Linked DNA regions of Caenorhabditis elegans. The protein of the gene in region 3 purifies or fractionates together with the protein of the main gene of each other region. This does not show direct contact. Each region holds a gene or a part of one and is shown on either strand. Other genes may lie near its edges. The genes, in order: ugt-62, F59B1.8, cyp-13A12 and dpm-1.

What was found.
Region 1: the proteins of cyp-13A12 (region 3) and ugt-62 fractionate together in Caenorhabditis elegans (co-fractionation; one large-scale study listed by BioGRID). This does not show direct contact.
Region 2: the proteins of cyp-13A12 (region 3) and F59B1.8 fractionate together in Caenorhabditis elegans (co-fractionation; one large-scale study listed by BioGRID). This does not show direct contact.
Region 4: the proteins of cyp-13A12 (region 3) and dpm-1 fractionate together in Caenorhabditis elegans (co-fractionation; one large-scale study listed by BioGRID). This does not show direct contact.

Annotation. Positions count from the first base shown.
Region 1 is NC_003281.10:4,536,516-4,542,814, forward strand, and holds ugt-62 (UDP-glucuronosyltransferase), read right to left. Parts: upstream 4,109-6,299; 5' UTR 4,107-4,108; coding exon 4,017-4,106; intron 3,673-4,016; coding exon 3,552-3,672; intron 3,505-3,551; coding exon 3,057-3,504; intron 2,334-3,056; coding exon 2,240-2,333; intron 2,196-2,239; coding exon 2,085-2,195; intron 2,040-2,084; coding exon 1,761-2,039; intron 1,530-1,760; coding exon 1,363-1,529; intron 1,145-1,362; coding exon 859-1,144; 3' UTR 766-858; downstream 1-765. Other genes in the region: mrps-34 (Mitochondrial Ribosomal Protein, Small), read right to left, coding at 5,024-5,200, 5,281-5,488, 5,535-5,665, 5,712-5,792, 5,842-5,931.
Region 2 is NC_003283.11:3,640,825-3,646,009, reverse strand, and holds F59B1.8 (CHK kinase-like domain-containing protein), read left to right. Parts: upstream 1-1,766; 5' UTR 1,767-1,772; coding exon 1,773-1,928; intron 1,929-2,466; coding exon 2,467-3,100; intron 3,101-3,518; coding exon 3,519-3,622; intron 3,623-3,674; coding exon 3,675-3,836; intron 3,837-3,894; coding exon 3,895-4,101; 3' UTR 4,102-4,152; downstream 4,153-5,185. Other genes in the region: F59B1.10 (CHK kinase-like domain-containing protein), read left to right, coding at 625-728, 783-944, 992-1,198.
Region 3 is NC_003281.10:13,022,305-13,028,840, forward strand, and holds cyp-13A12 (Cytochrome P450), read left to right. Parts: upstream 1-2,242; 5' UTR 2,243-2,327; coding exon 2,328-2,377; intron 2,378-2,433; coding exon 2,434-2,808; intron 2,809-3,519; coding exon 3,520-3,612; intron 3,613-3,661; coding exon 3,662-4,312; intron 4,313-4,370; coding exon 4,371-4,514; intron 4,515-5,385; coding exon 5,386-5,629; 3' UTR 5,630-5,713; downstream 5,714-6,536. Other genes in the region: cyp-13A11 (Cytochrome P450), read left to right, coding at 423-1,073, 1,214-1,357, 1,402-1,645; F14F7.4 (uncharacterized protein), read right to left, coding at 6,139-6,376, 6,422-6,536.
Region 4 is NC_003282.8:443,189-449,071, reverse strand, and holds dpm-1 (Dolichol-phosphate mannosyltransferase subunit 1), read right to left. Parts: upstream 3,396-5,883; 5' UTR 3,390-3,395; coding exon 3,039-3,389; intron 1,435-3,038; coding exon 1,222-1,434; intron 982-1,221; coding exon 826-981; 3' UTR 623-825; downstream 1-622. Other genes in the region: mrpl-55 (39S ribosomal protein L55, mitochondrial), read right to left, coding at 4,376-4,456, 4,502-4,597, 4,672-4,799, 5,015-5,087.

The DNA.
Region 1 (6,299 bases), 8.5 Mb from region 3:
CGACTCCGCTCGAATCTGTACTCAAATTGGGTAGCTCTTCAAGTGGAGAAGAGGCTCCACGAAATGCATTATACGACGATCCGATCTCATTAGATTCACAGACTTTTGATGATATAGACGAAGAAGTCAACATTCACATCTCTTAATAACCTTCAGTATTTCTTTAATTCACAATTTCTCAAAATCAAGGTGCTTTTTTCCCTTTCTCTTCCCATAATTCTTTCATTCATTTTCTCCCCCGTGTTATTACCGATATGTATTAAGTTTCTCCAAAAACCTCACAAAACCTTTGCAACAACCAAAACCTCAATTTGTTCACTTTATTGCTGGAAAATCCACCCGATTTTATGGGTCAACTTGTTACGTGTATCTACAACCCTTCACGACTCAAACATTTGTTCACATAGCTTTGTATTTCAAACATTTTTTCTATTCGTGTCTTTTTCTGCTGTTCATAATAAATTATTCAATAATAATTCACTGTGTTAAAGTTTTTTAGCAGAACTTAGTAAATTGGTATAAAAATCTGGATTTTTAGTTTTGAAGAAAATATCAATAATTTCACACAAGTTTTCATATTTTTCTAAACAAAACATGGAAATTCGAAACTTAATTTTCACAGCGAACTGAAATATTATTAGCACAGTTTAACTTAAAAGGTACAGTAACCACACGAGTCTCAAGCCTGGCTTCGCCCGCAACCCATCTCTCCTCATTTAGCCAGCCTACCTCTGTATGCATAGCAAATTAAAATCAAAAATTGTTTTTTTAATCATTTATTCAACCCGAAAGATTATAAAATAAAATTAAAAAAAACAAAAAAAACAAATTAAAATAATTTATAAAATCTCCAAAAACCTAATCCTTTTTAGTTTTTGTTTCACACTTTTTACAGAAACAACACCTGATTACAGCTCTCATGAAACGGTATCCAATATAAAATACAATGAAAATAACAATGAAAAGGAATGTAATTACATCAAGTGAATGATATTGGAAGAAGTTAAGCTTTTGACCAGCTGGCTCCAAATTATCAAGAGTTTTGAATTCGGCAAGGAATTCTGACCATTTTAGAAGTCGTTCAGCTGGTTTCATTGGTTGAGCACGAACCATTGCAGATAGTCGACTCACTTTTTGTTTGTAACTGCAAAATTTTTCAAGTTTTGATAGTAAAAAAAGTTCTTTTTCGATTACGACTCATACTAACGCGAAAAAAATTGAATTAACTGAGCAGCGGCCCAAAACATTCAATTTGTCACAACTTTGCTCAACCATGGCTATTCTGACAAAACATGGTTCCCGACATTCCCGAGCTAGATACAATTTCAACAGTTAGAAATGTTGTGTAATAAAATAACAAACCTGTCATTCTCCACAATTTCCATAATTGCTTTTACAATCGTTTTCTTTGAAATTTCGCCTTTTTGAATGTTTACAGCAAATCCATGTTTTTTTGCAACTTTGGAATTTTTGGGTTGATCACCAAATAGTGCAATAGTGACCAGTGGAACTCCAGCAGAAATTGCCTCCTGGAACAATGGATTCTTATTTTTATGGAAATTTGAAAGTTGCATTTAGAAACCGAGTAACTTTGCCCTATCTAAAGTTTTGAACCATTTAGGCTCTACCGAGAAAAAATATCAGAAAAATTCTCAAAAATGCTTTTCAGTTCAAAAAAAAGTGATTTTCAATCAAATATCAAATAGCTAAATTCTCTCCACTCTAACTTCAACGTTTCTCAAATAATATAAAATGAATACCTGCATAGAATTATAACCTCCGTGAGTAATGAATGCTTTAGTCTTATTATGCAACAATAGATCTTTCTGTGGAAGCCATTTGAATAAATGAACATTCTTTGGCAATCTATCATTCAAATCATCAGCCACATATCTCATTAAAAATTGATAATCTGGAAGTGAGGAGAATGCTTCGAGAATTGAATTCTTCCATTCTAATGGCATATCATGAGCTGCTGCAACGGATCCAAATGAGAATACAATCATTCCTTTTCCGGTCTCCGAGATTTTTTTGAACTCCTGAAATAAAATAGTTTCAGGTACATTCCAATAACTACAACTAACCCCAGTCAATGGTTTGGCACTGTCAAATCCAACTCCTAATCCTCCAATATTCACGACCTTTGCCAATGTCGGACGAGGAAGATCGTAAAGTTCGTTGCTATTAACAATTACCTGAACGTTTTTGTGATTAAAAAATAGATTAACTAAAAACTCACCAATGGACATTTTGCTCCAAGATCCATTGTATGTGGGAAGTTTGGATCATTCAGTTCATCACGGAAAATTTGAGTTTCTCCGTTTGAGGTCATTCTGAAAATACAAAAACTTGAAGTTTTAGGAATATCGTAGGAATGCAGAATGAATTTTTTTTTAATTATCAAAAACAAGCCTTTAAAAAAAGTTAATGACAATTTAAAAATAAGGAATTTTCTAAAATCTACTCAAAAAGTAGGGTTTTGAAATTTATGACGTATAATAACTATCTAAAACTCCCCAATTTCAAGTTCCCATATTTTTTATTTATTTACCGGAGCACGCGCAAAACGCGTGCTCCGACTGGCGCACGCTAAATTGTTTTAATACATTTTAAAGTGCTAATGTAGGTAACATTTTTCTACAGTTACACATTTTCCTGGAGTTTTGCGGACTTTCAAGAGAATTCTAAGACTTGGAAATTCTTTTAAAAATTCTAGACCTTTCCAGATCTTTTTTAGCAAATTCTAGCACTTTCCAGATTTTTTCACATTTTATGAGCTTTCTGAATTTAATTACAAAATTTTTCTAGGTACCAGAAGTTTCCAGTTTAATCAAAAAAAACTGACCTACAGGCATATAAATGACCACATTTTTTTATTAGGTTATTTATTTAATTTTCATAACTTTAAACATTAATATCTGCCTTAAATGAAATTTTTTGAAAATGTTTCTTCGGGGACTTGTTTCAAATTTCAAGAGCTCTCATTATCTGTATTTTTAAAACTATATTTCGAACTGTATTTTTTGTATATAAGTAATGATTTTCTTCGAACTAACCTTCTGTGCAAAACTGTCATCAATGTATGTCCGATAAAACTTTTCATTCTGAAGAAGAAGCCCATTTCATCATCGGACTCCATCATTAATGGAGGTACATAACTTGGAATAATTGGTACACCGACTGTTTCAGCCACAAAATCCATCAGTGCTCCACTGTTCAACCATACCCAAGATGGAATCTTTGCAGCATGGATTAGTCCAATTGGACATGAAGAATAGATATATGAGTAGGCCACATCAAACTTTTCATTTTCCAGCCATTTCATAAACTCCTTGTTTCGCACAATATTCCTACATCCATCTTGGAACATTTTTCCGAATCTACTGAACATTGACATCATAGCTGGCATATCCTTCAGTCCGGTATCTTTGAAAATAAATGCAGATTGCTCTTTTTCAAGGAGAGCTTTGGTAAGTCCCTCGACATATGCCTCCACACGATGGACTAAAAATTAAAAAGCTTAAAAGAAATTTAGAATTCAAAAAGCGAACCCTTTATATTCTTCGGAATCTTCACATCAGTTTTGTAATCTGGCAAATGAGAAAGATGAATCATTGTGACGTCATGTCCTCCATTGGCAAGAACTTCGGCCACACGAGTACAGAATTGGACCTGAAATGCAATAATTTAGAAAGTTTATTAAAATTATACGAACGTTTTAACTGTTTTGTTTTAAATTTCAGTCAGTAGCACATTTTCTCCATTTTAAACTGTTTAATATGGAGAAGCATCGAACTTTTTTGGTAACTATCATTATAGTTATATATAACCAAATATGAATGTGAAAAGTTTGATCGTTTTTTTTGGTTTTATGTCTGTGACGATTTCAATCAAAGGGAAAAGAAAATTTTTCCAATTTATGTACCAAAGAACTTTGACTACTATAAATTTGACCTAGACTTAACAAATGCTCCACATAGTATGAAATATTTCTCGATTAAAGTTTCTCAGCTCACCTGACTATTAGCCATATATGGTACAAAAACCGCATATTTGTACGCGGAAACTGCTCCAAGCAGTAGAAGAAAAAGAGCAATCAATTTCATTTCTGAAACAGAAATTGAGAAAACTTTGTCCATACATCGTTGTTTAAATACTCTTTTATTTGCATCATTTCTGATAGTCAATCACAAACCCAAGTTTCCTAGAGACAACTAGACTAAAAAAGAGAGCCGTAGAGAATTATAGACAATGCTAATTTATAAATCAGAAATGTGGTTTGTAGGAAGTTATGGTTTGGTGCTTTTCTGAAAAAAAAGTACTGATTCTAAATAGGCTCTTATCTTATCACAATCTGTTTTACATCATTGTGTTGTTTGTGCATCCAAAACGTAAAAATTATTGTGAAATATCATCTTAAATATTTAGTGGAGTGTAATAATCAAATAATCTTGAATAAAGTTGCGCAGGAAATCTGATGCATTGTGTTACGGTGGGTGCACAAATTTTCCAAATGCACCGAATTCCACGCGCAATTTCAATTTTTAAAGTTAAAGCCACCAAAAAACATAGTTGTACCATTAGATTTCTGGACTGACTATGAGTATTCATTTTTCACAACTCTCTTTTTCACAACGTCAGTAATATTTTCCCTCCGCTGTTGCAACTTATTTAGTCACAGTAAGTACTGTATTCAAACCTGAGTTTATTTACGCAAATTCGCCACTGATGTTTGGTTCGTTTCTGTTAATGATTCAACTTGTTCAACTCATACTGTTATAACGAATGCGTTCTCTTTAAGTTGTGATCTATATTTTATACATTTTTGTATTTTTGAATTAATCATTAACATTTTTTTTAACTATCACAAATTTCACTTCACTGTAGTCTTGGAACAATGTGACTTGGTTCATGATAGTTTAATTTTAAAACTCTAACGAAACAGAACAAAAAGAAAACAAAGTCTAAAAACAACTGCTACAATCGAAAACTTAAATTTAAAAAAAATTAAATTGAAAGAGAATCATTTCGGTGGTTGCTCTTCAACTCTCATCGTTGTGGCATTAAATCGTGGTTGGAACATTGCTGGTCCTGCATTCCAAGCTTCAACTTTAACTGGCAATTCGTTTCCGTAAAGATCCAAAAGTGCATTCTTATCAACTTCCTCGTAGATCGACACGCTTTTTGTTGAAGGAGCTTCCTGAAATGGTTGAAAATTGAAAAATAAAATTTTGTGAGTTTCGGAGTTTTTTATTTCAGCATATACATAGTTAATCCCACCTGTTTGATGAACGGCTTCAAGTGCTGGAACTCTGGATCGACACTAAGTGTGAGCGGAGCCCGTCTTGACACAGTTTTCTCATCCAAACCATTTTTGCGAGCACTTTTCTGTGACAAATGAACTTGAAGTGGTGGCAATGGAAACGAATCGGGAAGAACAAGATCTTGCATTGGTGTTGTGCTCGATGTATATGATTTTTCTTGATGTCTGAAAATAAACGAAAATTTCGAATCCTCAATTAAGAATTGCTTACTTGTGTACCAGCTGCCAGTCACTTCTGTTCAAATCCTTTGAAAACTCATAAACGCCAAGATTTTTTCCACGAAAGACCCATTCAGCATAAACTTTTCCTTCGAATAACCATCGGTCCATGCCTGGCTCTGCCTGAAAAGTTTCAGTGATCTTTGTTCATGCTAAAAATCAAGAATGCCCTCAAAATCTTCATATATGACGGATTATTCGGCCATTTCCGTGTCCATTCATTCTTTGTAACAAGACGACCGACACCAAACTGAAAAAAAAACAATTGAATCAAGGGGGAAAACAGCAGAATAACATACGTTGCGGAGTTGTGAGAGAATCTCGAACAAAAACTTTCCTTCCGATGCAATATCATGATTTCCAACAAATCTGATTAAGTTTGAAGACATTTTTATCTGAAACTTTTAAAATTGACTGTGAATCTTGAAGAAAAGGAAAAAATTAGAGAAACAAATTAAATGCTCGAAGAGAAGAAAAAGAATAGAAAAAATGCGCGGCGTGCTTGCAATGAGGCGCAGTGCAGCCGTTTTAGCCCCGCCCCTTGAAATATTCTTCCTTTTATTTATTCAGATTTTCAACTTTAAAATTATTTTAAGCATGTGTTTAGATGTTTTAATTTCATTTTCCCAAACTAAATAAAACTTTAGACAGTTTTTTCATGTAATTAATGACAAAAATGCCACAATTTTCGGTGCAAAACAGTTTTAAAGAAAATGTTATTTTTAAAAATTCATCAAACATTGCTTTTAAATTGTAT
Region 2 (5,185 bases), on a different chromosome or scaffold from region 3:
GTAGTTTGTAGTTTGTAGTTTGTAGTTTGTAGTTTGTAGTTTGTAGTTTGTAGTTGTTTGCAGTTTGTAGATAGTAATCCGTGCCGAGTGTTTTTTATAATTTCAAATCGTTTCTGTTACAGCGATTTCCGATATCAGAGTTAATATGCTATGTATGAAACATGGAGTAGCTTGTAGTTTGTAGTTTGTAGCTTGTAGATTTTAGTTTGTAGTTTGTAGTTTGTAGTTTGTAGTTTGTAGTTTGCAGTTTGTAGATAGTATTTGGTGCCGAGTGTTTTTTATGATTTCAAATCGTTTCTGTTACAGCGATTTTCGATATCAGAGTTAATATGTGATTTGTAAAACATTGAACAGCTTGTAGCCTGTAGTTTGTAGTTTGTAGTTTGTAGTTTGCAGTTTGTAGGTTGTAGTCGGTATCGAGTGTATTAATAATTTCGAATCATTTCTGTTGAAGCAATTTTCGATATCAGAGTTAATATGCGCATGTGTGAAACATGAAGTAGTATGCAGTTTTTAGTTTTTAGTTTGTAGTTTGTAGTTTTTGTAGTTTGTAGTTTTTGTAGTTTGTAGTTTTTGTAGTTTGTAGTTTGTAGTGTTTCAAAGATCAAGCGTGATATTTTCCAGGAATTAAACAAAACGTGTTGTGTCACGGAGATTTATGGGCTGCCAACTTTCTGTGGACCGAAAATAATGGAGTTTTCTGTGCCACCAGAATTGTGGACTATCAGGTATATTTATTTGACAACTATAAATATTTTCCACTAAAACCTGCACATTTTCAGATGTCCCATCTAGGAAATCCAGCAGAAGACCTGGTGCGTCTCCTGGTCTCAACAATTACCGGAGCCGATCGTCAAGCCCATTGGCAGCAGATTTTGGAGCAATTTTATTCGTATTTTTTGAATGAACTTGGCTCGGGTGAAGCTCCGTACACTTTGGAGCAGGTTAGTTTTTGAGAGCAATTTTTTTATTGAAAATAAATTTTTTTCAGCTGAAGCTCTCTTTCAAGCTCTATTTTCCAGTTGGAGCATTGGCTCTTCTTCCATTGTTTGGGCCGGCTGTGGACGCGAAATTGGAGGGGATGGATTCTGAAAAAGCTGAAAAATGTCGTCACGTAGTTATTGAAAAAGTTGCATGTCTACTGGATGACCTGGAAAAGTACCATAAATTTTCCAAAAGATATTTTCAAGAAAAATAGTTTCGTCTATTTTTTTCGAAAATATTTTGTTGCGAACTGCAAATAAAATCTGTGAAATAAATAATTTATTTATTGTTTTCTTCTTGTTTTATTCAATTAAAAAAATTTAATTCATTTTCGAAAAAAATTGCCCAATTTGCCTTTTGTTTTTACAATACCAGATTTTTTTAAAAATTGGTTCCATTTTTTTTTAATTTTGAAATGTATAGAAAACGTATTTTATAGCGTTCATTTATTGCACAACAGTTTGTAGATCAAACTATCAATCACACATTTTCCACCCGCCGTCTCGTTAAAATGACGTCACTCACACACACAAGGCGGGAGGGAAAGAGAGAGGGTGTCACAAAACACAGTGACTACACAATGGGGTCACAAAGTGTGGCGGTTATATAAATAGTGCGTTCGTTTTTTTTTTGAATTCAAGTGTTTCCGTTTTTGTCCTGTCAAATGTGTTATTTCCATTGATTTCTTACACAATTTATTTCCAAGAATTTTTTAAGTTTGTCTTTTTATTATAGCTTAATAAAAGTTTTTATTTTTAAAAATCTATTAAAATAATTTTCAGCTAAAAATGTCTACAAAACCATTGTCAATTTTGCAGCCAGGTACTGGATTATTCAATACCCATGTGACTTTAGAAGATGTGAATAAAGCTATCAAAGAGCAAATGAGCACTGAAAGTGAGCTCACGGCGGAGAGCAAAATGGAGGTTATTGGGGAGGGTAATGTAAGTTTTTTATTCAATTTTTTTAAACAAAAAAACATGTTTTTTTTTTCAACTTGAAAACTGGATTTTTATATGAATTTGTAAAATAGAAATATTATAGTTTTCAATTTTTCGATTTTCCGGAAAATAAAAAAAATTGAAAACAAAAAGTTTCAAAAAATTACCATAAACCATAAAATTTAATTTTTAATCAGCTTTTGCTTTTTTAAATTTTTTTTTGTTAAAGACGAAAATAAACCAAAATGTTAAGATGTTTTTCGGAATATTTGGAAAAGAAATAAAAAAATCTTTGGACGACAGCAAGTTTTCAAAAAAAAAATCAGTTTGCGACCCAATATGAAAAATATGTACCTTCTTGTTATAAAAATTTTAAAATTGAACGCAAATAGCGCCAACCAATCAGTGATATAAGCCACGCCCTTTGCTTATCACTGATTGGTCAGCGACTTTTGCGCAGTGTTTTTGTGCTCTAGCTAGTTTTTATTTGGGGAGATAATGAGAGATAAGCAGTAAAAAAATCAAGCTTCCCATTTTTCAGGGCTTCTCCTCTTGCGTGATCCTAATCACCTGTCACTGGACCATTCCCTCGTCCCATCTTCCCAAGAAGCTAATTCTGAAAATCGTTTCATTCGTTCATGTGCAGGGCCTTCTGAATAAGTCCAATGAAGAAGGGAATTCAGTAATGTCGCCGGAAGAAGAAGCCCATGTGCATGCACATTTCGAGAAGTCCTGTCAAAAAGGGCATAACTTGGAAGTAGAGTTCTGCGAAGCTTTCGGACATTTGGAGGGGCTTCTCCTTCCCAAAGTATTCTTCTCGCAGAAATTCGAGGAGGACAACCCGAATAAGGGATTTGTTGGAATGGAGTTCGTTGAAGGTTCAGTCGTCCGGCACTGTTATGAAAATGTTACTGTAGATGAGCTCCAGCCAATTTTGAAGGCTCTTGCAAGGCTCCAGGCGTTGAGTTTGAGCACCGAAAGCTGCAGAAATTTAGATAATGGAGAAGCCTTTGAAGAGAGTTTAATGGATATGTTGTCCGAAGATGGCCTGAAAGGGATTTTCGATCAAAGCCGGAATATTGACCAGAAATTGAGTGAAAAAGTTGAACGGATTGAGCAGAACCACAAGGAGATTCTGAATTTGGAGACTGTTCTCAATTTGAATAAAGTTGTAGGTAAGAGTGAATTTTTAAAAAATTTCCAAATGTAATTTTTACCGTAGCTTTGAAAATGTTAAAAAAACATTTCGATTTTCTTTTTTGAAAACCATAATTTTTTTACAAACACTGCAACTTGTGATCAAATTTTCTCCTCTTATTTATGTACATTTCTAAAGATTTTGAAAGAAAAAGGTCTCGCAACGAAAATATATCCCATGTTGAAAATAGTTTCTCGCGGCGAAAATTGGATCTTGCCACAATAAAGGATCTCGCCAAAAGTTGAAAAATAAATTACCCGCTATCACCCTCCGTGGTATTTTTTTGTAGGTTGCAAGTTGTAGTTTGTAGTTTGTGGTCTGTAGTTTGTAGTTTGTAGTTTTTACATTGTAGTTCTTTTTTGTTATGTTTCAGAGGTCTAACTTTATATTTTCAGGAATCGACCAAAAAGTTATCTGCCATGGAGATTTATGGGCTGCCAATATTTTGTGGACCCAGACGGATGGAGGTTTTATTGCCGACAAAGTTTTGGATTATCAGGTAGAAAAAATTGATTTAATGTCGAAAATGTTCAAAAAAATGAATTTTTTAGGAATCTCACATGGGAAATCCAGCTGAAGATTTGGTGCGTCTCCTCGTCTCAACTATTTCCGGAGCCGACCGTCAATCTCACTGGGAGCACATTTTGGAGCAATTTTACACTTATTTCACGGACGAGATAGGCTCCAACAATGCTCCATACACTCTTGAACAGGTAATTTTTTGAACCATTTTTTTGGAAATTAAAAATTCTAAAACTGAAAATTTTTCAGCTCAAGACCTCTTTCAAACTGTATTTCCCAGTTGGAGCATTGACACTGATCTCCTTGTTCGGGCCGGCTGTTGACATGAAATTGCAGGGAATGGAGTCTGGAAAAGCTGAAAATTACAGACGGATTGTCATCGAAAAAGTGGATTGTCTGTTGGATGATGTGCTCAATTTTCATGATTTCAACAAGAAGTTCACTGGAAAAAATTAAAAATTTTTGCTTGATATAGTCATTTACTATATATAAAGCGCTTATTCCGTTTGTCCATAGTTTGTAGTCTATGTAGTCTTTGTATTCTGCGAAGTTTTAGCTTCTGGAGGGATAGTGAGTTGGGGTTAGTGTAGGGATATAGTCGGGGTACTGTAGTGGTACAATGGTGGTACGGTAGGAGTACTGTATGATTACGGTAGTTTCAGAAAAATTGGTTTTCAGCTCCAGAAGTCGGGGGCCGCGCTGGAGGTGCGGTCCACGGCTGGTTGGAAAATAAATTGATTCATGTAACTTGAGGAATTCTATGCATTTGTCAATTTTCTGGAATTAGATAAAAGCGTAATTTAGGCTAACTTGGCTTAGGCCTAGGCTTGGGCTTATGCTCAGGCTCAGACTTAGGTTTAGGCTCAGGCTCAGGCTTAGGCTTAGGCAAGCCAGAATTTTCTGAAAATCGGAAAAATATAAATTAAGAACAAAATCTTCAATATTATTAAACCTAACAATGAAACTATAAACATTTAAAAATGCATTTGCCTGAAAAATTTGGTCAAATTCGGAAACTGGATGAAAATTTATAAAAAGGCCGGAAACGACGTTGAATATTAGCGGAATTGGCATAAAAAATTTCCTTGGAGCCAATTTTTTTTAAATTTTTTAAATTTAGAGAAATAATCTAAAATTTATTTTCCTAAAAAAGAAGGTGTTCTATTTAAAGAAATTTTCTAACTAGCGAAATTATGGAAAATATGGCTATTCGCCAAAAAATCAAAAATTACTTTATTCATTTTTTTCTGTGAATAGAGAACATATGTCTGGAACATCATTTGACAAGAAATGCAAAAACAAGTTGTGCACAACAACTTGCCAGTCCCTAACGATGCTCATTTCCGATTACTTTGGATTTTTGAAAATATTTATATTTTTTAGTGAATTACTGCTATGCTATTCTGAACAATGTGTTGTAATAATTCAATAAATAAGTATTTTAAATTAAAAAAAATAACTATTATTATATATTTGGTAAATTCAGGAAATAATTCGTGGTAATTGATTTTTAGGCTTCTATTTTTCTTTTTCTACTTAA
Region 3 (6,536 bases):
AAAACATGGATAATTTTACTTGAATTTCTATTGTTTAAGGAAAACAAATATTTAATTTGCGCGGGAATTCAAAAATAAATATCTCCTTTTCTATTATTTTTTGAAATTATCTACGTTTTATATCATTTATTGAAGAAAAAGAAAAATAGGAAAACACAAAAATGTCAAAATTAGGTAATTAATTTGCGCGGGAGTTCAAAAATAATTAGCTCTTTTTTTTTTAATTTTAGCAAAATTGAACTTCATAAAAAAAATTCATTAAAAAGATTAATTAAAAAATTAAAAAAATAGAAACTTTAAAAAAATTGTTACAGTTATATTCGGCCATTACCGTCTATTTTCTGGCATTTAAAGCACAATTTTTCTTGACACACTTTTAAACAAACTAAAAAAAGTTGTAATCCTTTAACTAAAACTTTCAGATATTTCCAAGAATTCACAATGGACGTGATTGGACGCATAGCAATGGGACAACCAGACTCACTAATGTTCAAAAACCCATTACTACCTTGTGCTCGAGACGTTTTTGGCAAACCACGGACCGCTTTATTTCTATCTGGAATTTTATTCCCATGGATTGGTCCGATGATTCGAAAAGTTGTATTCTATTTCACAAATGTTTTTAATAATCCAGCAGCACAAATTATGTATCAAACTGCAAATGCGGTGGAGCAAAGGATTAAGCAAAGAATGGCTGAAGAGAAAGCTGGAATTGATCCAGGGGAGCCCCAAGATTTTATTGATTTGTTTTTGGACGCAAAATCGGATGACATGGAATTAGAGAATAATGAGGATTTTACAAAAGCCGGAGTGAAAGTCACTAGACAATTGACAAAAGATGAAGTTGTTGGACAGTGCTTTGTATTTTTAATTGCTGGATTCGATACAACAGCCTTATCACTATCATATTCTTCATTCCTCCTGGCAACTCACCCAAAAGCTCAGAAGAAATTACAAGAAGAAATTGATAGAGAATGTGCAGATCCAGAAGTTACATTCGATCAACTATCAAAGTTGAAGTATATGGAATGTGTTATAAAGGAGACGCTCAGAATGTATCCGCTGGGAGCTTTGTAAGTTTTAAATTCCAATAATTTTTTTTAGGCGCTCAAGCTTTTTTTCAGATGCTCAAGCTACTTTTTTAGATGCTCAAGCTATTTTTTTTAATGCTCAAGCTATTTTTTCTTGTATCTTGAAAATTAGTAATTTCCAGAGCAAATTCTCGCCGTTGTATGAGATCTACTAAAATTGGAAATTATGAAATTGAAAAAGGCGTCGACATTTTATGTGACACGTGGACACTTCACTATGACAAAAGTATTTGGGGAGAAGATGCTGAAGAGTTTAAGCCTGAAAGGTATGACTTTGAAGCTACTACTTATTAATTTAAAAATTTGTAAGATGGGAATCAGGAGACGAGCATTTCTATCAAAAAGGAGGATATATTCCATTTGGATTGGGACCTCGACAGTGTATCGGAATGAGATTGGCCTATATGGAGGAGAAGCTTCTTTTGTCACATATTCTCAGAAAGTATACATTGGAAGTTTGCAATAAGACCCAGATTCCGTTGAAGCTTATTGGTTCAAGAACTACACAACCGGAAAGTGTCTGGTTGAATTTGACGCCGAGGGATGATAATTGAATTACGGGTCTTTTGTACATATTAATTTTAGTATACTTTGTGAAATATTCTAAAATCTTTATCCTCCAAATTTTTTAGTATATAAAATGCTTCTTAAAAGTCTGTAGAACCAATTTTTAATTTTTTTTTAAACTGGGTTACAAAAATTTTTGTCTTAAGATAGAATGACTCAAACAAATTTCGATTTCAAAAATTAAAGCCAGCGTCTTTCAAAAAAGCAAATAGCGTCTCATTTACAATAACCAACACTGGAAGGAATACAGGAAGGGAGAGCACAACAGAGCAAGCGGGAAGACTGTAGGTCACACTAAACCGACAGAGGCCGCATAGATCAAACTGAAGATAAGACATATTGTGTGTAAAGGACCTCACAACAATTCTATAGAAATATGACTTCATCTACTGATTGGAAGTCCAAAATTTGCATCAGCAATCACAAAATTAATAATTCTGATCACAAATAGTCAGAAAAGAAGTCTCACTGAAACTCTACCCACAAACCAAAAAATTGATAGACAACTAGAAATTGGAGACTTAGACAGACCGGCAAATAACTTTTGTGACCAAATAGTGATTTGTGGGGAGTATGACGATAAGGTAGTAAACCAATAAGATGTATAAATAGGAAGAGAGTTTATTTGGTTTTGTAGACCATTCAAGTTTTGAGTTTAAAAAAATTGAAATGGCAATTATATTTCTTGCTATTTTAACTTCAATTATTGGAGTTTTAAGGTTAGTTATTGCAGTTTTTTGTATTTTAAAATTAAATCAAAACAAAAACTTTGCAGCTTTTACCTCTGGACATGGAGTTACTGGAAGCGTCGTGGAATAGCTGGACCATCTGGCTATCCAATTCTGGGAAGCGCTTTGGAAATGTTGAGCTCAGAAAATCCACCATATCTCCAACTGAAAGAGTGGACAAAGCAATATGGAAAGGTTTATGGAATAACTGAAGGACTCTCAAGAACACTAGTGATTTCGGATCCTGATTTGGTGCAGGAAGTGTTTGTGAAACAATATGACAATTTCTTTGGGAGAAAGCTGAATCCAATTCAAGGAGATCCGAATAAGGACAAGAGGGTCAACTTGTTCTCGTCTCAAGGTCATCGATGGAAGCGGCTGAGAACTATTTCGAGCCCAACTTTTTCTAATAATAGTTTGAGGTGAGTTTCTATACTTGATATTAGGCCCGAGTCTACAAAATGCAATTTTAAAAGTTTCCTAACTTTCAAAAAAAGTTACCAAAATGGATGTGTTATGAACTAAAAGATTTAGAAAAATATTTTTTTTAGTATTTGGATTTTTTAAATTTCAGTTGGAAAAACAGACGGATTAAATTTATATTTCGTTTAAAATCAGATTAAATTAATACTTTGATACGATTTGATTTTGAGGTATAATTTTTCAAAATTACATAAATTTGTACATAGAACAACTATTTTTCGTTTATCTGTACATATAGATAGAATTACACTCACTACCAAATAAATATCGTAGAGTACTAAAATGACCAAATAAAATAGTAAGACTTTTCAAAAAAACTTTTGATACTTTTTTATTGACTGTCATAATTTTGAAAGTCTGCAAAAATACATTTAAATTGTTTGTATTTAATTATTATAGGTGTTTCCACCTGTAACAATGATCGAGATTAATACAAAACCCATGATTGAAAAATTTTGAAATTATGTATATTTTTTCGGGCGCTTTCGACTATAATAAATGTATCTAAAGTCCAAACTCCCACTGAACTATTTTTGAATAAATGTATGAATTTTCAAAAAAAAAAAGCCCATTAGCTTGGAATGCCAGTGTTTCATTAAAAATTAATCTATATATAGACTATAGTCAGCGTTTTTTTTTTTAATTTTCAGAAAACTGAAAACAACCGTCGAAGAATGCGCCGTGGAACTATTGAGACACATCGAGCAACACACTGATGGCGGGCAACCAATTGATTTATTGGAGTAAGTATCAAAAATAGAACTGATTTTATACAATGTTGGGCATTTTCAGTTTCTATCAAGAATTCACTCTCGACGTAATTGGACGTATTGCAATGGGACAAACCGATTCTCAAATGTTCAAAAACCCGTTGCTCCCATATGTCAGGGCAGTATTTGGAGAACCACGAAAAGGGCTTTTCCTCTCCGGATCACTTGCTCCATGGATTGGACCGATTCTCCGAATGGTTATGTTTTCATTGCCGAATATAGTGAAGAATCCAGCGGTACACGTGATTCGTCATACTTCAAATGCAGTGGAACAAAGGGTTAAACTGAGAATGGCCGATGAGAAAGCTGGAATTGATCCAGGAGAGCCCCAAGATTTTATCGATTTGTTTTTGGACGCAAAATCGGATGACGTAGAATTAGAGAATAATGAGGATTTTACAAAAGCCGGAGTGAAAGTCACTAGACAATTGACGACTGAGGAAATTGTTGGGCAGTGCTTTGTATTTTTAATTGCTGGATTCGATACAACAGCCTTATCACTATCATATTCTTCATTCCTCCTGGCAACTCACCCAAAGGTTCAGAAGAAATTACAAGAAGAAATTGATAGAGAATGTGCAGATCCAGAAGTTACATTCGATCAACTATCAAAGTTGAAGTATATGGAATGTGTTATAAAGGAGACGCTCAGAATGTATCCGCTGGGAGCTTTGTAAGTTTGAAATTCCAATAATTAGGGTTTGAAAAACTAATTTAACTAACTTTTATAGAGCAAATTCTCGATGTTGTATGAGAGCTACTAAAATTGGAAATTACGAAATCGATGAAGGCACAAATATTCTTTGCGACACATGGACACTTCATTCGGATAAGAGTATTTGGGGAGAGGATGCTGAAGAGTTTAAGCCTGAAAGGTAGGTCTAATTTAGGATAGTGCCAGGGTACCGTAGCAATACTTGGGGGATGCTATAGGATTTCTGTAGTTTAGAAAAAAACACATTTTGTTTTTTGATAGAATAGTGACTTGGGGGTACTGTAGGAGAACTATAGGATTACTGTAATTCTGGAATAAAAACAAGGTTTTGGTCTTTCAAAGAGATTAATATTTTGCAGTTTGAGAATAAATGTTTGGATGAAAAGAGAATGTAAAATCCAGGAAAAAACACAGTTTTGCTCAAACTCACTACTACTACCCTCTGCTAGAGCATATTAGAATCAGGGGTGCGCAGCAATTGCCGTTCGGCAATCGAATTTTCGGCAATTTCGGCAATTGCAAAAATTGCCCATTGCCGCGCAGCCCTGTGCTGGGGTACTGTAGAACTACTGTAGTTTTGAAAAAAACACACACTTTTTGTCGTTTGAATGAATAGTGACTTGAGGTACTGTAGTGGTATTGTAGGAGTACTGTAGGATTACTGTAGTTTTTGAAGAAAAATTGAATTTTGAAGATTTAGTGGCTTGAAGGAAAACTCTATACGAAGGCCAGCTTTGAACTTTTTGAGATAATTCATGGGAAAATTAAATTCAAATATCTTCTAATTCCGTTTTGCAACAAAATGCTTCACGAAAGAAGATTATAACTTTCTGAAAATTACTTCTTGAAATTCTGAAATTTCTAGTCGATATGAGGATGTTTAGAACATTTTCTAAAAATTAATAATAAAATTGGCTCTAAAATTGTTTTTCATAAATAAACTGCAAAATCAAAATAAAAAACCATATAATCATAAACTTGAATTGTTCACTAATTCTTATGTACCAATGTTTTAAAAAAAGTAATTTTAGATGGGAATCAGGAGATGAGCATTTCTATCAAAAAGGAGGATATATTCCATTTGGATTGGGACCTCGACAGTGTATCGGAATGAGATTGGCCTATATGGAGGAGAAGCTTCTTTTGTCACATATTCTCAGAAAGTATACATTGGAAGTTTGCAATAAGACCCAGATTCCGTTGAAGCTTATTGGTTCAAGAACTACACAACCGGAAAGTGTCTGGTTGAATTTGACGCCGAGGGATGATAATTGAATTATTATGGGTCATTTTTGATATTGTAAATGTTTATAATTGATATCCAAATCCAATATATTGGATATAAATTATTTGTTCTCATGACAGTCTTAATTTATAGAAAAAACGGGAAAAAAAATTTCAAAATGGCAAATCAGCAAACCGGCAATTTTACTTGTCAAACGGCAATTGCCGCCCACCCTGTTTCGGCAAACGACAAATCGGCAAATCGGCAAACCGGCAAGTCGGCAAATTGCCGGAATTGAAAATCCGGCAAGTCGGCAGTTTGCCGAAAGCCTCTTGAAAGTCTTGATTTCAAATATACATTTCTGTTCAAAAATTACAATTTTTATAGATTTAGAATCTTACAAATCTTCATTATGGAAACATTTTTCCTAGGCATGTAGGCAAAAATGCCTAGCCGCCTTTAATGTGGCTTACGCTTGCCTGACAAAATGACGCGCGCCGCTGGAAATCTTTATCGTACGAATAAAATACAAAACTAGTAGATCTCTTATTTCCAAATCTCAATTTTCCGTGTTTTTCTCAGCAACCGGCTTCACCGCAAATGATTGTCTTCTCATTTCCTGATTCTCAGCCATTAGCTTCATCACATGCTTCTTGACATCATCTGAATCCATTGAGCCTCCATCTTCCAGCCATTTCTGCACCTGACACGTCGACTCATCCGGCTCCACGAGCAAATCCAACGTTCTCGCGTCTTGCCAATTGCTCTCGTCTTCTTCGTCGCCGGTAGCTTCTTGTCTGAAAATTTCAATATTTCCTGGGACAAGCTACCAATATCCTTACCCCATCATAAATGCATCGGCAACTTCCGTCACAAAATCCACTCTCCGTTTCATTTTTCCCAAGTTTTTAATAGTCTTTCTGGTGTCCTCATCTTCAGATTCAAATCCAACGTGCA
Region 4 (5,883 bases), on a different chromosome or scaffold from region 3:
GCGGAATGTGCTCAAAGGGCTAGCGGTGTGGAAAATGGCCACACCAAAGGCAATGTGCGTGGAATGTGCGCAGAATGCATGATTTCTGGATGAAAAACACACAAAAACCAATGTGCGCAGAATGTGCGCGGAAGGTGCGCGGAATGTGCGCATACGTCTACCGAGACAGTCACTGTTCTTGGTGAACGGCCAGAGTCACTATATTTGGGCCGTTCACCAAATATAGTGACTCTGGCCGTTCACCAAAAATAGTGACTCAGAAATGCACAGAAATGTGCAACAGAGTACGGCAGTGTGCGGCACACACACCCACTTTTTTTTCTGGAGTTTGCCGCTCATCGCCAGCTTTCCAGGGCACAATTCACAGCTCGGGGGTAGTCGTTGAAAGACGTTGAAAGCGCCCTGGAAAACTGGACCGATTTGCCGAGATATTGGTACAAAAATATAACATTTTTAACTCCCAACACTGGATAATCTGAAAATTTTAATCTCTTTTTGAAAATTGGATACATATTTCTTCTATTTTTCGGCATTTGCCGAGCTTTAATTATTCGGCAACTTGACACTTAGCCAACCAGAACATTTGTGCACAAATTGTTTCCAATTTTGTTGGCATCTTAAAAAATATTATAACGATTTATTCGAAGAAAAAATATAATTTAAACAAGAATGTTTGGAAACAATATAAATAGGAATCCCCAAGGTCATAATAAAAAAATTTGGAAAACGTACAATGAAGCGCTCTGGCTATAAAACTCTCAGAAATTTTAATTCTTAAAATTTAAATTAAAAATAGTAAAATGAATACAAATTATATCACAGAATCTACCAAACAAATGCAAACAGATAGAGAAGTCCTTTTGCGTAATCCACGATTTCCTGACTTCCGAGCTTTGATTCTCCAAAGAATCGATCGACGAATGAGATTGGTACCTCCCCAATACGATAACCCGATTTTTTCGCTCGAAACATCATTTCCATCTGCAATTCGGATTTTAAAAACATTAAAAAATCTTTTTCACAGTATTTTGTTATTAAAAAATCTTCTTTATATATATTTAACTTTGAATTTTCGAAGAGCCTCAGAATAAGCTTAAGTTTTGATTGCATTTCTGTTTCTTGATCAATAAAAACCTTTTTTCATTGGCTCCGGTTTTTGGTAAATGGTGTGCACGAGTTGCAGAAATATCTTTATTTTTCAAAATTTAAACCTATATTCACCTGAAAAACGTATCCTTTGCTTACACTTTCAGCAATCAACTTCGACAGAATATCTCTCTTATAAAGACGAAATGATCCTGTTAAATCAGATACACCTGGATTCAGCAGAAACTGAGCCAAAAAATTGGCTCCCTTGCTGATCGTCTTCCTCTTCAAATCCCATCCACTAACACCACCTCCGTCCTTGTAGCGTGTTCCTGTCACGATGTCGAGCTGAAAAATAAATAAAAAAATTGTATTTTTATGCTTAAAAAAGGCATTGTGTTGATATAAATGTGATGGTTTTTTAAATGTAATATTATGTCCTCTATTATCGGAAACTTGATATTAGGTGAGACATTATTTTCGGCAAACGCACAAAACTGGCGCATTTCAACATGATAATCAGGGGTGTGCGGATAACCGACTTTTTCGGCTAACAGATAGATCGGCTAATGCCGACTTTTTTGAAGCCGGCTAACGGCTATTCACTACAACTTTTTTCGAACGAGGGACGAGGCAAAAAGGTTTCTAGGCCATGGCCGAGTCCCCGACAAGTTTCAGCGGCCATTTATGTTGCTTTGTTTTCCGCGTGTTTTCTTTCGTTTTTCACCAATTTTCCCCATTTTTTCTTATTAATACTAATAAATAAATATTTTTTGCAGATGCTAAAACAATTTCCAAGTGAAAAAATTGTGTATTGAGTCTGTAAGTAACGGTGAAAGTGGTCAATGTAATATGATGGATTACGGGAACACAAAACCCAAACTTTTTCCCACACATGATACATATGCTGCTCTGATGCTGAAACTACCTGATTTTCATAACGAGACCACTGAAAAAGTTTTGAGGCTTTCAAAATTCAACTTTTTTGGTGAAAAAGTAGAGATTTTCGCACAAAAAGTTGAATTTTGAAAACCTCAAAACTTTTTCAGCGGTCTCGTTATGAAAATCAGGTAGTTTCAGCATCAGAGCAGCATATGTATCATGTTTGGGAAAAAGTTTGGGTTTTGTATTCCCGTAATCCATCATATTACATTGACGACTTTCACCGCTACTTGCCGACTGAATACATATTTTTTCATCTGGAAATTATTTTAGCATTAGCAAAAAAATTTATTTATCAGTTTTGATAAGAAAACACGGGAAAAATTGGTGAAAAACAAGAGAAAACAAAGCAAGTACAAAATGTCGTAAAATGCGGTGTTTTGTGTGCAAACACCGATTTTTCGCATTTTTTCTCGGCCCTCGTTCGAAAAAAGTTGCGGTGATGTTCACTATTTTTTAGCAAATTCAGTGATGAACGACTGTTCAAATAGAAAAAATCATATAAAACCCCAACATTTTTTCCAAAAAAAAATGTGTTAGTGAAATTAGCAGACCGGGAAATTGGGCTAAGATCGGCCAACATCGGCTACCGGATAACTTAAAGTTTAAATTAGCTAAACTGGCAGAAATTCGGCTGATAGTGAATCGGATATTATCAGCACACCCCTGATCCAACTGTGCCTGAAAGTTACAGTTTGCCGAAAAAACTTTTAACGGCACCTTTTCGTCAAACGACAATTTTCAGGTACTATTTGAGGACTTTTTTCAATTTTTTAACAGAAATATATGTTATTTTCAGATAGAACATGCTGTGTTCTACATTTCTATATAAATTTTAAATGCTTAACGTTGCATAATAAGTTCTTGCCATATTTTTCTCAAATTGGAAAACTTTCATCAAATTAACTATTATTTAACTAAAATAACATTTGTACACCTATAAATTTTGAAATTTAAAAAAGTTCTGTTTTTTTAACAATTTTTAGAAAAAATGTACGAATAATGTATACCTTATACTTATGTTGAAGCGCAATCATTTCCGGAATGAATTTTGGATGATGAGAAAGATCTGCGTCCATAAGAATGATAAATTCTCCACGTGCAAACGATAATCCATGTGAATAGGCTGTACCAAGTCCAAGTTTTCCAACTCGTGGCTTGATCAGAATCTTATCGTCTCCGTACTCCTTTTGAAGAAGTTTTGCAATGCCTTGAGTACCGTCTGGTGATGCATCGTCAACGATAATCACTTCATGTGAAACTTCTTTCAGATAATTTTCAATTAACCAAATGCAAATCGGCAAATTTTCTTTTTCGTTGTAGGTTGGCAGAATTATCGAATATTTCGGAGTGGATGTCATAATAATCTGAAACATAAAATTCCTTTTGAATAATCTGACTAGGGATCCCTGTAAAAACTTGGTGAATAAGAGAAACAAAAAGTATACCAATCGGAAGCTTGTGTTAAATACTGGCTACTCGAAATCAAAACAAAATTAATCGGTCTCAAAGTCTTAAAAACACTAGTGTCACTGAAAATTAAAGTTGGAGTACCGAAATCTAAGACTTTGCTTTTTAGAACCAAATGATTCAAAACTACCGAATTTCGTAATGAGAAGTTTTGAAATTTTCTCAAAAAAAAGTTATGGGTCAAAGTTTTAGAAAAAGCTCATTTTCAGCTAAAATCACATTTTTCCACCTTCTCGGTGTGACACCGTCTGGAACTAAATTTTTATTCAATTATCAATCTTTAATAAATATTATGGTCCTTTACTACGCGCTTATTCTTTGATTAAAGTACATTTTCGGTCAGTGGGTCACAAAAATGTACCTTTTATTGGTCCCCCCAATCGATTTTTTCACAGAAAAAAAATGATAAATTTCACTGTTTTTGAGCCAGAAATACGATTTTTTGAGTAAAAAACGTTGAAATTAAGAGTTTTCAGTGAAACTTCACGCTTCTTATCGCATTTTTCCATTTTTGAAGTCAAATTCGTTCTGAGATCGGGTTTTTTACCCGAAAATTCGCGTTTTTCTCGGAAAATGGCTGAAAATTCGGCGTTTATCGCTGAAAAATGAGGTTTTTAGAGGTTTTTAGCATATTAGTATTTTCAAGCTAATTTCGACCGGAAACTCGATTTTCCTCCACAAACTTCTTGGTTTCCTATCCACCAAGCTGTTACGGGGTTCCCTAGTGAAATAGAGATAATTGATATAAAATTGCGACTAAACGCACAAATCAATATTAATCAGATCGAGAATAAAGTCGATATTCATAGTAAATATAACGAAAACAAAAAATCTAACAAAAAAAAAGAAATACTACATGCTAATAACGAGATTTTTCTTATTTTTTCGTGGATTTCTGCCCGGGTGCCGACCAAAACTTCATATACTCCGACTCATCGAAGGTGTCATCGATAACTTCCTGAAAAAACCATTTTTAATTTGAAATCGTTAATTATATAATTACTGTTTTTGTGATCTTGGCTTTTGGTTTACGAGCAGCCAGCCGTTGTCGTCGTTCATCCTCGCTCAACTGTTTGAGGTCGACGGCAGATTGGAATGTCTGAAAATATGTACAATTAAAAAACTGATTAAATATAAAAACTGCAATTAAATATGTATTTTTCAAAAAGCAACCTGTCTCGGTTCAGCGGCGGGAACCATGATTGTCGAACCATCCGGACGGATAAATTTAACTTGGTACCGATGCAAGTAGTCTCGACGGCTGATTTTTCCCAAACTTGCTCTCCACGCATTATTTCTCTCTGAAAATGTGAAATTCACGCGGGAATAGTGATTTTGATTTAGGGAGAGGAAGGGGGAAATGGTTTATAAAAAGTCTGATTTTGAGGAGAAATGAATGGAAATAATAGTAATTGCAATTTTCACATGAAAAATGTTGTACGAAAAATGTTCTGCCACGTTTTTTTTTTGAAAATAACCTTCAAATGATATTTTTCGACCTTTTTCCTTTACTAACCTGCTGTGATGGCTTTTGAGCAGCTTGTTAGCAAGTTTCGCATGGAAATTTGAGTGTTCATCTGCAAAAACATTTAGAAATTCAAGAAAAATCACAGGAATACACTGAAAAATCAATAAGTTTTAATAAAGACGTGTATTTTTGACTTATTCGAGAGGAGTGCACAAACAAATTCTCAGCGGAGCGCGTTTGCGGCGCTCACTTTTCGTGTCACTTACGCGGCAAATGCAAATAAAATTAAAATAAGAAATGAGAAAAATGCGAGAAATTATTGAAAAAGATAAAGGAACTGATTCGAAACGGTAAACAAACTTTATAGTATATATAAAGTTTATACACGGCCTCCTGCGGGTGAAACGCGCAAGCAAGTCGCTCTCGTCATCTTTCACCTCTCACTTGCGCACGCTCTTTCGCTCAAAACGTGAAAAGCGGCGAAAAACGGAAGATTTTGAACAAAGCTTCAAATTCTTGCTAATTTACGTTTGAAAAAAATATTAAAATTGAATGAAAAATGGATTGTTCAATAAGATTTTCAATAACAATTTTAATTTTTGTAGTTCAATATACCAGAAATCACGATAAATATTATTTAAACGTGCGTAACTTTGCGAATAAGAAATAAAACAGGAAGCAGTCAATTATGAAAATAATATTTGAACAATTTTGAACATTTCATTAGTTTAGCGTTTTTTGATTCCGTCACTGGTTACTGAGTTATGATCTATAACAGCTAGCGAGGTTATATCAAGGAATTTAACTTGTACGTTTTCCAAAAGAGCATAGCTCTCTCGTGAGCATAGATATCAAAAAACTTTTAGCCGAAGAAATGCTCAGCATACAAAACACTACAATTCTTGATTTTACTTTTT